Drosophila melanogaster: one gene and its partners. The protein of the gene in region 1 purifies or fractionates together with the protein of each later gene. This does not show direct contact. Each region holds a gene or a part of one and is shown in the gene's direction. Other genes may lie near its edges.

Evidence for each region. The genes of interacting proteins can lie anywhere in the genome.
Region 2: the proteins of CG13319 (region 1) and CG14480 purify together in Drosophila melanogaster (affinity purification with mass spectrometry, with the first as the bait; one large-scale study listed by BioGRID). This does not show direct contact.
Region 3: the proteins of CG13319 (region 1) and Prosbeta7 purify together in Drosophila melanogaster (affinity purification with mass spectrometry, with the first as the bait; one large-scale study listed by BioGRID). This does not show direct contact.

The regions. Positions count from the first base shown.
Region 1 is NT_033778.4:12,921,036-12,926,153, forward strand, and holds CG13319 (uncharacterized protein), read left to right. Parts: upstream 1-2,868; 5' UTR 2,869-2,913; coding exon 2,914-3,312; 3' UTR 3,313-3,316; intron 3,317-3,386; 3' UTR 3,387-3,629; downstream 3,630-5,118. Other genes in the region: NAT1, read left to right, coding at 1-1,775, 1,844-2,022.
Region 2 is NT_033778.4:17,562,473-17,566,352, forward strand, and holds CG14480 (uncharacterized protein), read left to right. Parts: upstream 1-1,867; 5' UTR 1,868-1,964; coding exon of another isoform or gene 1,965-2,275; 5' UTR 2,276-2,435; coding exon 2,436-2,631; intron 2,632-2,691; coding exon 2,692-2,852; intron 2,853-2,915; coding exon 2,916-3,308; 3' UTR 3,309-3,380; downstream 3,381-3,880. Other genes in the region: Klp54D (Kinesin-like protein at 54D), read left to right, coding at 1-66, 486-809, 869-881; CG43324 (uncharacterized protein), read left to right, coding at 1,313-1,513; CG46428 (uncharacterized protein), read left to right, coding at 1,965-2,246; Ns2 (nucleostemin 2), read right to left, coding at 3,387-3,880.
Region 3 is NT_033777.3:5,356,512-5,360,328, reverse strand, and holds Prosbeta7 (proteasome beta7 subunit), read left to right. Parts: upstream 1-1,964; 5' UTR 1,965-2,253; coding exon 2,254-2,405; intron 2,406-2,472; coding exon 2,473-2,974; intron 2,975-3,045; coding exon 3,046-3,198; 3' UTR 3,199-3,317; downstream 3,318-3,817. Other genes in the region: Cerk (ceramide kinase), read left to right, coding at 1-350, 779-981, 1,042-1,171; CG1161 (uncharacterized protein), read right to left, coding at 3,749-3,817. UniProt on the Drosophila melanogaster protein: Non-catalytic component of the proteasome, a multicatalytic proteinase complex which is characterized by its ability to cleave peptides with Arg, Phe, Tyr, Leu, and Glu adjacent to the leaving group at neutral or slightly basic pH.

The DNA.
Region 1 (5,118 bases):
TCGAGGCGATCGCAACAGGGATCGCGATCAGGGCGGTAGCGGCGGAGCTAACTATGGCAATCGCTACAACAAGCACAACCAGAATGGAGGAGGCAGTGGCGGAGGATCCTCCAACAACCGGGACCGGGATGATTCGCGTAGGAATAACGATCGTGACAGGGATCGCAATGACGGACAGTATGGGGGCAATCAGCTGCTGGGTAGTAAGGAATTGGCACCGAGGTTCAAACGCAACTTGATCACCACGAACCAGGATGCGGTGGAGAACTTGCAAATGCGCCCGGCAGCCAACTCCTTGCTCTTCCGAGCGGCCTCCCAGAACCAAAAGTTTCCGGCTACGTTGCCCATGTCAACACCGCCCAATAGCAGCGGCAGCAACAACCAGGGCAGCTCGCAGGGCCAGCTCTCGAACTCCCACTACCCTATGCTCGGCACGCCCACATCCCATCTGATCAATCCAACGCGTCCCTCGTCAACACCATCTGCTGAGTATGCTGATAACCGAACTCTTTTGGGAGTTCAACAGGAGAGGGGATTGAAGGCCACCTCTTCTTCGCCGAACTTTTCATCAGGAGCGGAGAAGTTGGATTTAGACGGTCAGGCGGGCAGAAAGGGATCGCACGACGGCAAAGATCAGGGCAAGAATGGCTCCGTGGAGAGACCAAGCACTCCGGCCGGCGGTATTGGCTCGGCCAAGCAACAAAAGAAAGATAAGGGTCCCAACAAGGAGGAGCTGTCTAAGAAGGCCAGTCAGTACTTCAAGGATAGGTTCTACTACGATGAGGAGGAGGATGCAGAGGTGACGGAAATTGAGATCAAGGATATTGATGAGACAAAGACGGAGGAGGCCGACGCTGCTCCAGTTGAAGTCTCGGAGGTAAAGGAAGATGCTGCAATACCTGTGACCACTCCAGATCGCTTCACCAAGCTTGTAGATGGTTTCCTCGAGCTTAAGCTGCCAGAGAAGGCGCTGAAGGATGTGTGCATCAATCTGCTGATGGAGGTCTTGGACCGTGTAAACGATGTCTTCTTGGAGCGTGCTGTGCGCCTTCTGCAGACATTGCGCAAGCAATCCAATATCAAGCCGAACATCGTGGTCGAGATTTTCAAGCAGGTGGTCAACAAGATGAACGAGCGAGAGGCACTCAATCCCCGAATCGTTAGTCTTGTAGCCAGCTTGCTGGCAAAGACAATTTGCGAGCCAGCATTGCTGAAGTTAAGCGATATCGCCAACTTCACGGACAATGGCCAACACTATCCGCTGTTCCTGCTCGTGCTGCAGCAACTGGTCAAGGTCATCGGCAAGGATGCGCTGGAAGAGAAATTCCGGGCGAGCAAAGTTGATCTTATGAACAGCCTGCCGGAGGCGGATCGGAACAAGGAGCGCTTGGCCGGGATACTCGAGGATCGCAAGCTTTCTTTCCTTTATCCGCTATTGAAGGTACAGGCCGAGATGCTAAAACAGCTGCAAAGCGACCCGAACCCCAACAACTTCTACAAGTGGATCAAGGCCAACGTTGACAACAAATACTACAAGGACCCGGGCTTTATCCAAGCCCTAATGACCGTGGTGGTCAAGTATGTGACCAAGGAGACGACGCTGGCGGACAACCTCGACCCCAAGGAGCACCCTGAGAAATCGGTGACCCAGAAGGAGCAACAGCTGCTGGAGAACTACAGCCAGATGCTGCAGACCTTCCTGGGACAGAACGAGCTTCAGTTGATGGCTCTCTATGCTCTGCAAACGTTCTGCTACAATGAAAATTTCCCCAAGGGTAAGTGCTCAACATTTTAAATCTAATCTGTTTTATCGGCAACTTATATTTGCTTTTTTCTTCGTTAGGCATGCTGTGCCGTTGGTTCAAGTATCTTTACGAATCTGAAATTATAGAGGAGGAGGCATTCGTCCTGTGGAAGGAGGAGATTTCCGACAAATATCCAGGCAAAGGATCCGCTTTGTTCCAAGTGAACGCCTGGTTGACTTGGCTGCAGGAGGCCGAATCTGAGGACGATGAGGATTAGAAAGCAACGCAGTCCCGCATAATAACAGCGCTATATGTTTATCACTTCCAATATTTATTCACAAATCGATAATGATTACATGATGAAAAACAACAAAACTAACAAAACACGAAAAATAAGAAACAAAATACCATCAGGGTGGAAGTTTGAAATCGCGGTTGCAAAACTTAGTCAAATTATAGTAAAAAAGAAAAACAAAACAAAAAAAATTAATCAAAATTATTTGATATCCAACAAATTCAAAGAACATTAACAATCAATTATCAATAAATAAAGCGCAATAGACGTCAAATATAACCGATATTTATCCATACATCATAATTCTCATTGACATTTCAAGCATAACGAATAATTAGTGAATTTCATCTTTTTTTTTTAACATAACAACCGGAACTGATCTTTAAATCGAATAACGTTGATTTCAATTGCCTTTTTTTGGTACTCTCGACGATTTCCCTTTTGTGTATTTAAATAAGTAGGTCAAATCAAAGCGACAACATTAACATTATAGAAAAGGAAAAACCAATCGACGCGCGCCGAAGAGAGCAAAACAAAATCTGAATGTAATTGTGAACAAAATATCGTATATATGTATTTAACTCAACCAACGTAAACATTAAAAAACTCGCCCACATTAAATAGAGCCTTAATAAATGCAACCAACACTGCGAACGGCGAAATCAAACTGACTTTCATTGGCTTTTGAGGGAGTAATGCAAATTTAAAATCCGCGCCTAAGCTCTGTAATAGCTGCCTATCGATACAATTTTCGATTATTTTGAAAAGCTATCTATGGTCGTTTCGTTATCTGGCAACACCGCTCCGGTCAAACTTGCTATTTCATTGTTTTCCTTGTGAATATTGCTTGTTTATGTATAAAATTCACGACTAATGGATAGCGTTCCTGCGAATGTTGTGCCTGCGAAGGAGTCTGGTGGTTTCACCTCACATTGCGTCCACTTGGCGGCGGGTCCCTCGCAATTCACCGTGCGCGCCCTGAAAATGCAAGGCAGCACCATGCTGATCATAAACCCCAAGGGATTGGAGGTTTTCGAGGAGCTAGCGGTGGCCATGCCCTCTCGCAATCCCGCCAGCAGCCAGTCCCTATCCTCCACAATCCTGGGCGGACACGGGCAGACCGACTCATCTGTTCTGGCCGCCAAATTGAGTAAACGCTACTGCCGCCAGTTCTACGTGAGCCTTAATCTCAAACTGGATCGATTAATGGGCCCTCTGTTCGAGAAGACGCTAGTCACCTACATGCAAGACCATCTGGAGCACTTCGCTTGAGTGGGTACAACAACTTAGTGTGGCATAAATTTAATCCTCAATCGCTGACTTATTTCTGGTTCACGTGCACACAGGGCCCGCCTGCGCTACCGATGACACGGCGCCGCGTGGGGGTCAACGTCTATTTCGGGGACCGGCGGCTACCCCACGGACGCAGCTTCACGTACTCTACGCACTCCATCAGCTAACTATCTGGGATCTCCGATTCCCGATCTCCGCTCAGACGTCATGCGGCGGCCGAGTGAGCACGAACTTTAAACGTGTATCGGTGATACGAATTTTGTACAATAAATTTATTGCCCTAAGTAAGTTTACAGACGCATGTGGGCTTTATCAATTGTGTCGCGATAGCAGTGCTCAATGTAAGAAGAAGTCACCCGCTGTGTGAGTGATCGCGTGCCACCCGCATGCTATTCATGCTGCTGCTTCACCACCCAATGATTTGAAGGTCAGTTTGGCTGCAGTGATGATCGCTTGATAGGTGATTTCCCCGCCATCGTATTAAATTCGAATATACATATGTGTGTGTTCGCATTGCGCCGGTTTGTTCATCAGGCCTCCGTTTCGGTTTCCCTTTCGAATGAATGTTTAGGTTTAGGGAGAAGTTAATATGTAATAATCATTCGGAAGTTTTCCAAATGGGTACCATTTCAGTTTGATCACTGAATACCTCTGACAAATAATATCATTAGATTTGTTTTTATGTTGTTAATTTGAACTATTCGAAAAGTTAGTAGGATACCACTATCAAATGTATGTATTAACTAGCGGGTTTACAATTCACAATGTGATTAACAAGCTTCTAAATTTGTGTGAATAATACTGGTTGAAAATATTATATCTCTTGTTACAGTTCGTTTAGCTTTTGAAAAAATGATATTGGTGATGACTGACTATAGGAACTCTCAACTTTACTAATTACCCACGAGCAAAAAGTTGATGTCACTTCCTGCATGAGTTCCCAATTATAATGATTGCGATATCCAAAATATCCAAGTCACTATTCACTATTTCAGAATGGTTCTATGTCACAGAAAGTCTGCAACTTGAACAGTTTGATACTCAGGTATAGATAGTTGAAGGACCAACGCGACACCTTCATAATGCCCTTTATCTATCGGCATTCTCAGACTGAAAGTTGGCTATACTTCCTGCCCGCCAATCGTAAATATAAATCGGTTGATAAGACGTCTGAATTACCCCCGCCAAGAATGCCAGTCATATTTTTAATGGAACAGCCCCCAGCAGCGTTGTGCTATGGTTGTGTTGGATCACACCGCCTGGAGGTGCCATTGAAACTTTTCCGCTAAACAACCCAATGGGAGGGAGGGAGCAGCAACAAAATGAAAAACACTAATGTACGAAAAAAACAAATTTCGCCTCTCATAATAATGCCCAGTCTAGACGAGATATTGTCAGGCGTATCAGTGGTGGTAACAGCGACAAGAGCATATCGCTCCAAAAAAAAAATAGCAGCACCCATTGAACGGGTATAAAAATAGAGCTTCAGCCGGAAGGTCTGCGCTCCGGGGTCTGTGGGCTCCCACGAATGTCTGGAATGTTTTTTTCCCCCGTTTTTTTTTTTCTGCTTTTGGTTTCCCCAGTTGCCTAATAACTTTTCCTTTTTGGCCATATCAAAAGCTGTCTGGCGATAAGCGCCCTATAAATAATAGATCCGAGTCGGCCGAATTCGAGCAGCCATCTGTAATTATCGGGTCGGAATGTGAGTGCGAGTAGTTGTGGCTTCCATGCCTCGGTTGCATGTCCCTGGCTTGGATGACTGGCTGGCCCGGCTGGCGGTACATG
Region 2 (3,880 bases), 4.6 Mb from region 1:
TAGGGATCAGGAGATAGTCTGCCGAGAAAACGAGCGCCTGCTTAAGAAGCTGGAGGATGTCAATAAGTAAGTGGGATGCTTTGCATGTTGAATTCGGGTCGGAACGATAGTTTTAAGTCTTGAACTGGTTTTTGATTCCTTCTCCAGGACTGGCTCATTGTTCTCTCCCATTTCTGACTCGTTCTAGGTCGAATCCGAACGGGAATGAGGACAGTGAGCCAAGCCAGAAGGTCCAGCCGAATAAGGAGTGAAATATTACCTATATACATATATCGAATGTTTTCTACTTTTTAACCAGTTTTATGTAAAATGTATTCGTAAATGTTAAAAAAAAACAAGCCAAGAGTGTGACTAGTCATGTAAGGATTTGTAATAAAAGTTTGTTTTTGTTCCTATGAAGCTCGTAGCTTCTCTACATTTTTCATTACAAAGTAAAAACACTATGATTAAATTATGATTTAATGTTTATTAATATTCTTTTACAGAGTCTGTGTGCGTTCCCCATTGATACCAGCACGTCCGGCCATATCCCCAACGACAGGAAAGGAAACACCTGGCACTGAGATCTGGACAAATCCAGAACCGCTCCAATCTCCACCAGGACCAGATTTACCAATAGAGCAGCGGATGTCGGAGAACGCTAATAGACGGACAGATACGGCTCAAAAGCGAATCGATCAGAAAAGAATAGCCAAGAACATTCTGATTATGGCCAATGCATTCCGGAAACCGGACTCAGACATTACCAAGGAGTTGAACCTGAATCCGGAGGAGGCGCATGCTAAGCAGTCGACAGAGTTTATGCCAGAGTAAGTTTTTAGAAACATCACCTAATTAATTTTACTCATAATTTCATTTTTATTTCCAGCATGCTCACATAATTAACTTTAAATAAAAACAGTTGTAAACTATATATTTTTGCAATAAATAAAATAAACGGTGTACAAAACATTGATAAAAAAAATCTATAGCCAATAGGACATATATTGATACAATTTATGAAAGCTTATAGTTATTCCAAGATTCAAAAACTGTGAAATCTTTCCCCACACCAACAAGAAGCTTTCACCAACGGCTGGCAAAAGTCGGAAAACTAAAGCACCATTCTCAACGCGGTCACACTTTTTATAAATATTGATTTTTCAGCGCCCCCAATAAAATATTTCATCGAGAAGTAGAGCGCATATTTCTCGCTTACAATATTGGGGAAATCGAAATAAGCACAACTCAAATTGAATCAAATCAATATTACAGCAGTATTAGCATCCCAGCAACCACCATAGGTCTCGCGGAGACAGCCGTCCTGGACATAATGGCTGCTAATTTGCAACAGCAGCGCTCCATCAACTTGCAGCTACGGCGGGAAGTGGAGATGGAGCGTATGCCCGTCTCGGTGGCATGCTCCTTGATGATGAAGTACATGTTGGAGCACGAGGAGGAAGACTGCCTGCTCAGCGGCTTCACACAGAAGGTGAATCCGTTTCGCGAGAAAAGCTCCTGCAGCATCCTGTAGATTCGGATACATCATGATCCGGACCCAATCCTAACAGTATTATCCTATAATGTATACTCAATCACGGCGAAGTTCAGAATCAGTCGTATTACCTATTTGCTGTTCGTTGTAAGTGTGCTGACCTCAATTATGTCTATAAACTAAGTATATACATTGGAAACGGACGAACCGAGAATTTATGGATGTATAAACAAAATACGAGAAACCGTCTTCACCTAAAACGCCTGCATATGTGTGTATGAATATCGTGTATTTTGCTAATCCTGTAGCTCTTTATTGGAGAATTTAGCAAAGCCCCATCCTATATAGATGTTTCCTATTGAGATATTCCTGAAATAAAGTCATGTAACCAGTGATTTTCATGTGAAGGGTATTTGTTTCGATTTACCTGAGGAAGAATTTTCAAAATTTCAGAATGTTCCGGATGAGTGTCTCGCCTTTACCATGGACAATGCGACCAAGCAAGTTCCCATCCGCTAATCCCTACTTTATTTTCTTTGACCACTTTCGGATTAATCTTCAAAAGCGGGACATTTGCCATCTGAAACCGATTTCCTTGGCCAAAATAGCCGGCAGAAAATGGCGAGAAATGACAACCGCCCAAAAATCAGTTTTTGTGCAGATAGCCGAAATAAATCGAGCCAGGCTTAGGGCCCGTGGTCGCCCCAGTGTTCCAGTTGGTAGAGTAAGGCGCTGTCATATTAAAAGAGTTTATAAGGATAGTTCATTTTAGTGGGACTTGGAAAGTTTTTCAACGTTTAACTTAAAATGACACAGAAGCATTAGCAATTCCCGCCACTAGTTCAAATTTTCACGAGCCACTACCAACACTTCTATATCATCGCACAGCTGCTAATTCGACGTTCACCACACTGGCAATAGTTGTGGTCTGTAAAAAAGAGCAATTTTACGAAAGTACAGCATGAGTTCGGGCTTTGTGACTGAAGCTGAGGCGACCGAGCAAAGGCAGAGACGTCAGGAGGAATGGGAGCGTGTACGCCAGCCGGAGGATCCACTAGAACGACCTGAGGAACCCTACGATGGGCGCTCACTTTATGAACGCCTCAAACAAAATAAGGACAAGAAGGACATGGAGTTCGAGGAAGCCCACAAGCTGAGTAAGACTATGCCATAAACAATGCAATCTGGCCATCCTAACATGCGTAATATACGTATAGAAAACCTCATCCGTGGTCTGGACGATGATGAGGTGCAGTTTCTGGAATTGGTCGATGCCCATAAAATACACGCGGAGCGCCAGCAAATGCGCGACGAGGAGCTAGAACTAAAGGATTTTCGCAATCGTGTGGAAAAGCTGCAGGAGGAGAGTGTAGACAAGGTGGGTAAAGTTACAGCAACAATCAATTGATTTTACAATCACCCGAACTTCCGCAACCCTCAGAAACTGCAAGCTGAACTAAAAACCACAGCGAAGTCCGCGGGAGCTTCGGTCGGGCGTAGCACTCAGAAGACGCTGCTCGGCCAGGGCATCAAGAGAAAAAACGGCGAACTGCCCACCACCAGTAAAGTAGCCAAAATCACTGAGAATGAGGTCGAACAGACAGCGACAAATGAAGCAACCAAGGACCCTGCTGATAAGACAACGAACACCACATTAATTACAAACAAATACAACCAGGGGGCCCTAAAGTGCATCGCTATACTTCCGGGCATCGGCTCCTACACGGAGTCTAGTGACTCGGAGGCCAGCACCGATGAGGAGGAACCCAGTATGTGCAGCCGAACCGACTTATGTGGCCGCAAAATTCCCAAGAAGAAGCAGTGCTCAGAGTAGGATCAACTTTTTATTTGGATTCTTAAAGTGTAGTTTTTCCTTGCAAGAAAATATAGCCTAGAGTGTAAACGTAATATTTTACGCGTCCTTCTTTTTGTTTCTATTGCGATTCTTAACATTTGTCGTCTCGTAAAAGTTGCTGCCAATCTTCTTGCGTTTCTGACTGCGCTCCAGGGAGCGTTTTTGCTTTGCAGTCAACCGAGGAGCCTTTGAAGTGCTGGGTCCATCGTCGTCAGAGCTGCCAGCACCATCCGAATCACCAGGTTGTATTTTGGCCACTCGGAATTTACCAGACGATGTGATGGCCAGCTGTTGTGGCTTCTTTGACTTGGCCTTCTTGTGCACAACGCGTTGCAAGTCCTCATTGTACTCGTCCTCCGAGTAAAACTCGTCCGCTCCATCGCTAGACTCCTCGTCCTCTTCACCGAGGTTGTGGATGCGAGCCTTTTTCTTTGCCGCACGCTCGGCCTTCTGTTGCTCTAAAAGCTCTAGATCTATGTGATCAAGATCCTTCACATCTTCCTGCTCATACTCAAGACCCACGCGTATTTTTCGAAAATCTTGGATCTGCT
Region 3 (3,817 bases), on another chromosome or scaffold:
AATCTAAAGAGGCAGAGCGCAATCAGCAGGTAGAAACAGAGGACTCTCATCTAGCCGCCAGTGAAGCAGCACTCCTGAGGCCTCGTCCGCGTCCAGGCAATCTTCGATTGCCCACTGGCTCCATTTCATCAATGAGGAACCTCGGCAACGATCAGTGGAAGGTTGTGCGGGGCAATTTCTTTATGATCTGCGGCGCGAACATAACCTGCGCCTGCGCCAGGAGTCCCAATGGCATCTCCCGTTACAGTCATCTGGGTGATGGTTGCCTGGACCTGATTCTCGTGAAAAAGACCTCACTGCTCAACAACGTGCGTTTTCTGCTCAACACGGCGGGCAGAAGTGGTGATATTGTGAGTACTAACTATTACAACTATTCAACTTTCACATCCAAAAGAACACCTTTCCTATAAGAGGCGTCCATTTCCTTTGAAATAACATTTCCATAACATTTTAACTGCATCTTTAATTGCCAAATCCCCTAAGCCTACAAGCTGAGCTTAGTGCTTTCTATCCTAAAAGCCAAAAACCCAAAACCGAACCCCATCTAGCTCGGATTGAAGCGAGGGAAATCTGTGACAGAAAGGTTATTTTACGAAGATCTACTAGCCGCTCTGGTGGCATCCATATAAAGTATATACTTGACCAGTTTCAACAATATAATGTTTTATCTAGTGAATGCGATGGTATCTTTTACTGTAAAAATATAAATGAAAAATAAAAGGATACAATTAAATTTTGTAGAAAACAATAAATATTTAAAAACATTTTCCCATTGCAGCGCAATTTGCCTTTTGTAGAGGTATATCGCACAAGGGAATTCCGGTTCAGAACTTTTTCTGCCAGCGAGGAGGACTACAGCTTGGCAGGGTCTTGTCAGCCGATTACACCGCCTGAAGAAATGACCGCCCACTCCTCCTCGACGGAGTTTTCCAGCTGGAACTGTGATGGAGAGGTGGTGACCGACCTGGACATAACCATGCGGTGAGTTGGTTGTACCTTTAACTTCAATAAATCGCTTATTAACCGTTCCGTATCTGGCAGATCGCATTGTCAGCTCATCGAGGTCTTCATGCGGGGTCCCCATTCCTACAGCAAGCCCCTCAAGGGCGGCACCACGCCCACAACCCCAGCTAGCTCTAGCGACAATGTTTACTGCTGCTGCAAGGACTAGAAGCTTTAACCCCATAGAATTAGCATCAATCGTTGGCCGTGACATGTAGCTCTTAGTTTTGCGTAGGGTATCCTTATTCGTATATGTATCGTGTTAAAGAGCGGGTCTCCCCGTCATTGTTTTTAGCATAGCTCAATAAAGCAACTGATATTATCGACTGTATTATGGCATCTGAAAGATGCGGCAGCAACCTAAACATTCCCCTCGGAAGCATTATGCACATACCTATATATTTACAAATTGTGTACTGGTATACTGGCAATAAAAATGTATTTATATGTCTTCAAATTTATAATTCTTTATTATTAATTTATATGATCAAATGTTATGATAAAAAACTTCGTTGGGTTCCCAAAAACAACAATCCGGAACATGTGCGTTTTTCCCACCAATATGAATAAAAGCAGAAGTTTTAGCAAAAGAACCTTATTCCGCTTAAAAAGCTATGGAGAATCGTGTTCGAAGGGAGAGAAGGGAGATATTGGATTTGTAGATTGACCAGGATAATTTCCAAACGTCATTTACATTTATTGCTCTCGATTCTTATACTTTAATGACCATTGAACGGCTTAAAATGAAGTAAAGCAAATGGTCATTATATATTAACTAAACATATATTTAGTTTCAAGGAGTAGTAAATACCGTAGAAGCAACGGGTATACATGAGTCTTAATCCTAATTGAGTGAAAAGTTCTTTAATTTCTTATCTTTCTTCTCCTTGATTTGTATTATCAACGAGGATTATAAAGACAAAAGTAAAAAAACAAATTCAGTATAGGCAGCGTGGTGTTAACTGTTTTACATTACTTTTAACATCAACATCTAATAAAATGTTAAAAAGTTCACAATTAAACTTCAAATTAATTTAATTTAACACATGTAAAACGGTGTGACCAAGCTAATAGTGGATTCATCTTTGGTATGTCTGGTATTTTTAGCTACCGGTTGCCGATACTGGTATTGCCGCCCGCCTAAAGTCTGTTCACACTGCGCTGACTCTTGATTTTATTTGTGCCCGTCATTCTCCGGCAGCGACAAACATTTCAAAGTCTCGCGTTATTCCAGTCTCCGAATAAATTAGCATGTTGAACAACTACAACAGCCTAGCGCAGCCCATGTGGCAGAACGGACCCGCTCCCGGCGAGTTCTACAACTTCACGGGCGGACAGACGCCGGTCCAGCAGCTACCGCGGGAGCTGACCACAATGGGACCCTATGGAACCAAGCACAGCACGTAGGAACTGCGGATATGTTTATATGCAGATGTACCACTTGTTTACACTCCTTTTACTATTCCGCAGTGCTTCCAGCACCACGGGCACTTCCGTGCTTGGCATTCGCTATGATTCAGGAGTGATGCTGGCCGCCGACACCCTGGTGTCTTACGGATCCATGGCCCGCTACCAAAACATTGAGCGCGTCTTTAAGGTCAACAAGAACATCCTGCTCGGCGGGAGCGGCGACTTCGCTGACATCCAGTCCATCAAGCGCAACATCGACCAGAAGATGATCGAGGACCAGTGCTGCGACGACAACATCGAGATGAAGCCCAAGTCCTTGGCCAGTTGGATGACCCGTGTGCTCTACAACCGTCGTTCGCGGATGAACCCCCTCTACATTGACGTGGTTGTCGGCGGCGTGGACAACGAGGGGACTCCGTACCTGGCCAACGTGGATCTCCGTGGACGATCCTACGAGGACTACGTGGTGGCCACTGGTTTTGCCCGCCATTTGGCCGTTCCGCTGGTCCGTGAGAAGAAGCCCAAGGACAGGGACTTTACCGCCGTAGAAGCTTCCGAACTGGTAAGGAATTTCGAACTCTGATGGGGGGACTCTTCATTATTTAACTACCCTACCATTTTCTTATATTCTAGATCCGCACATGCATGGAGGTGCTTTACTACCGCGATACTCGTAATATTTCCCAATACACTGTGGGCGTGTGCAGCGTCAACGGATGCGGCGTGGAGGGGCCCTTCCAAGTTAACGAAAACTGGACATTCGCCGAAACCATAAAGGGATACTAGAGCCTCCGATTCTGAATGAACTTAGTTTAGGTCTAGCTCGGCGGTTTTGCATTAAAAAAAAACACTTGTCTAAGGATATGTGGTTACATGATTTATTAAAAATAAATGTGGCTGAAAATAATACGTTTAAAGTTATGGTTATTGTGTGATAGAAACTATCTTCGAGTTATTCTTTCGTTAATCTCTACTGATGGAATCAAAAAGTAGGCGTCAAACTAAGAAGCCCAAGGGAGTTTCCAAATCTAACTTGGACTCACCATTACGGTCTTACGTTCCTTATTTTCCCAAATTATAACCATCAATTATCATTAAAAGTTTTATTTTAGTGGATTTGTTGGTTATTCCTCCCGGCATTCAACTTATTAATTAATATGCAAACACTCCTGACAAACATATTTTGGTTTATTTTAATTAACATAAAATCTGGCTAAATATACAGATAATCAATTTGATCCAAAGGGGAATTTCGCAAAGGATAACTGCTTGGAATACGTGTCTTAAGTCGCCCATGCGCCTCCTAATCTCCGCCAGCTGCAAACCGAACCCCTTGTTAGTTTAGCATGGTATGCCTGTCGTAGATGTGGCGTCTCTGCTCGCGCACCTGCCGCTTCCACTTGTC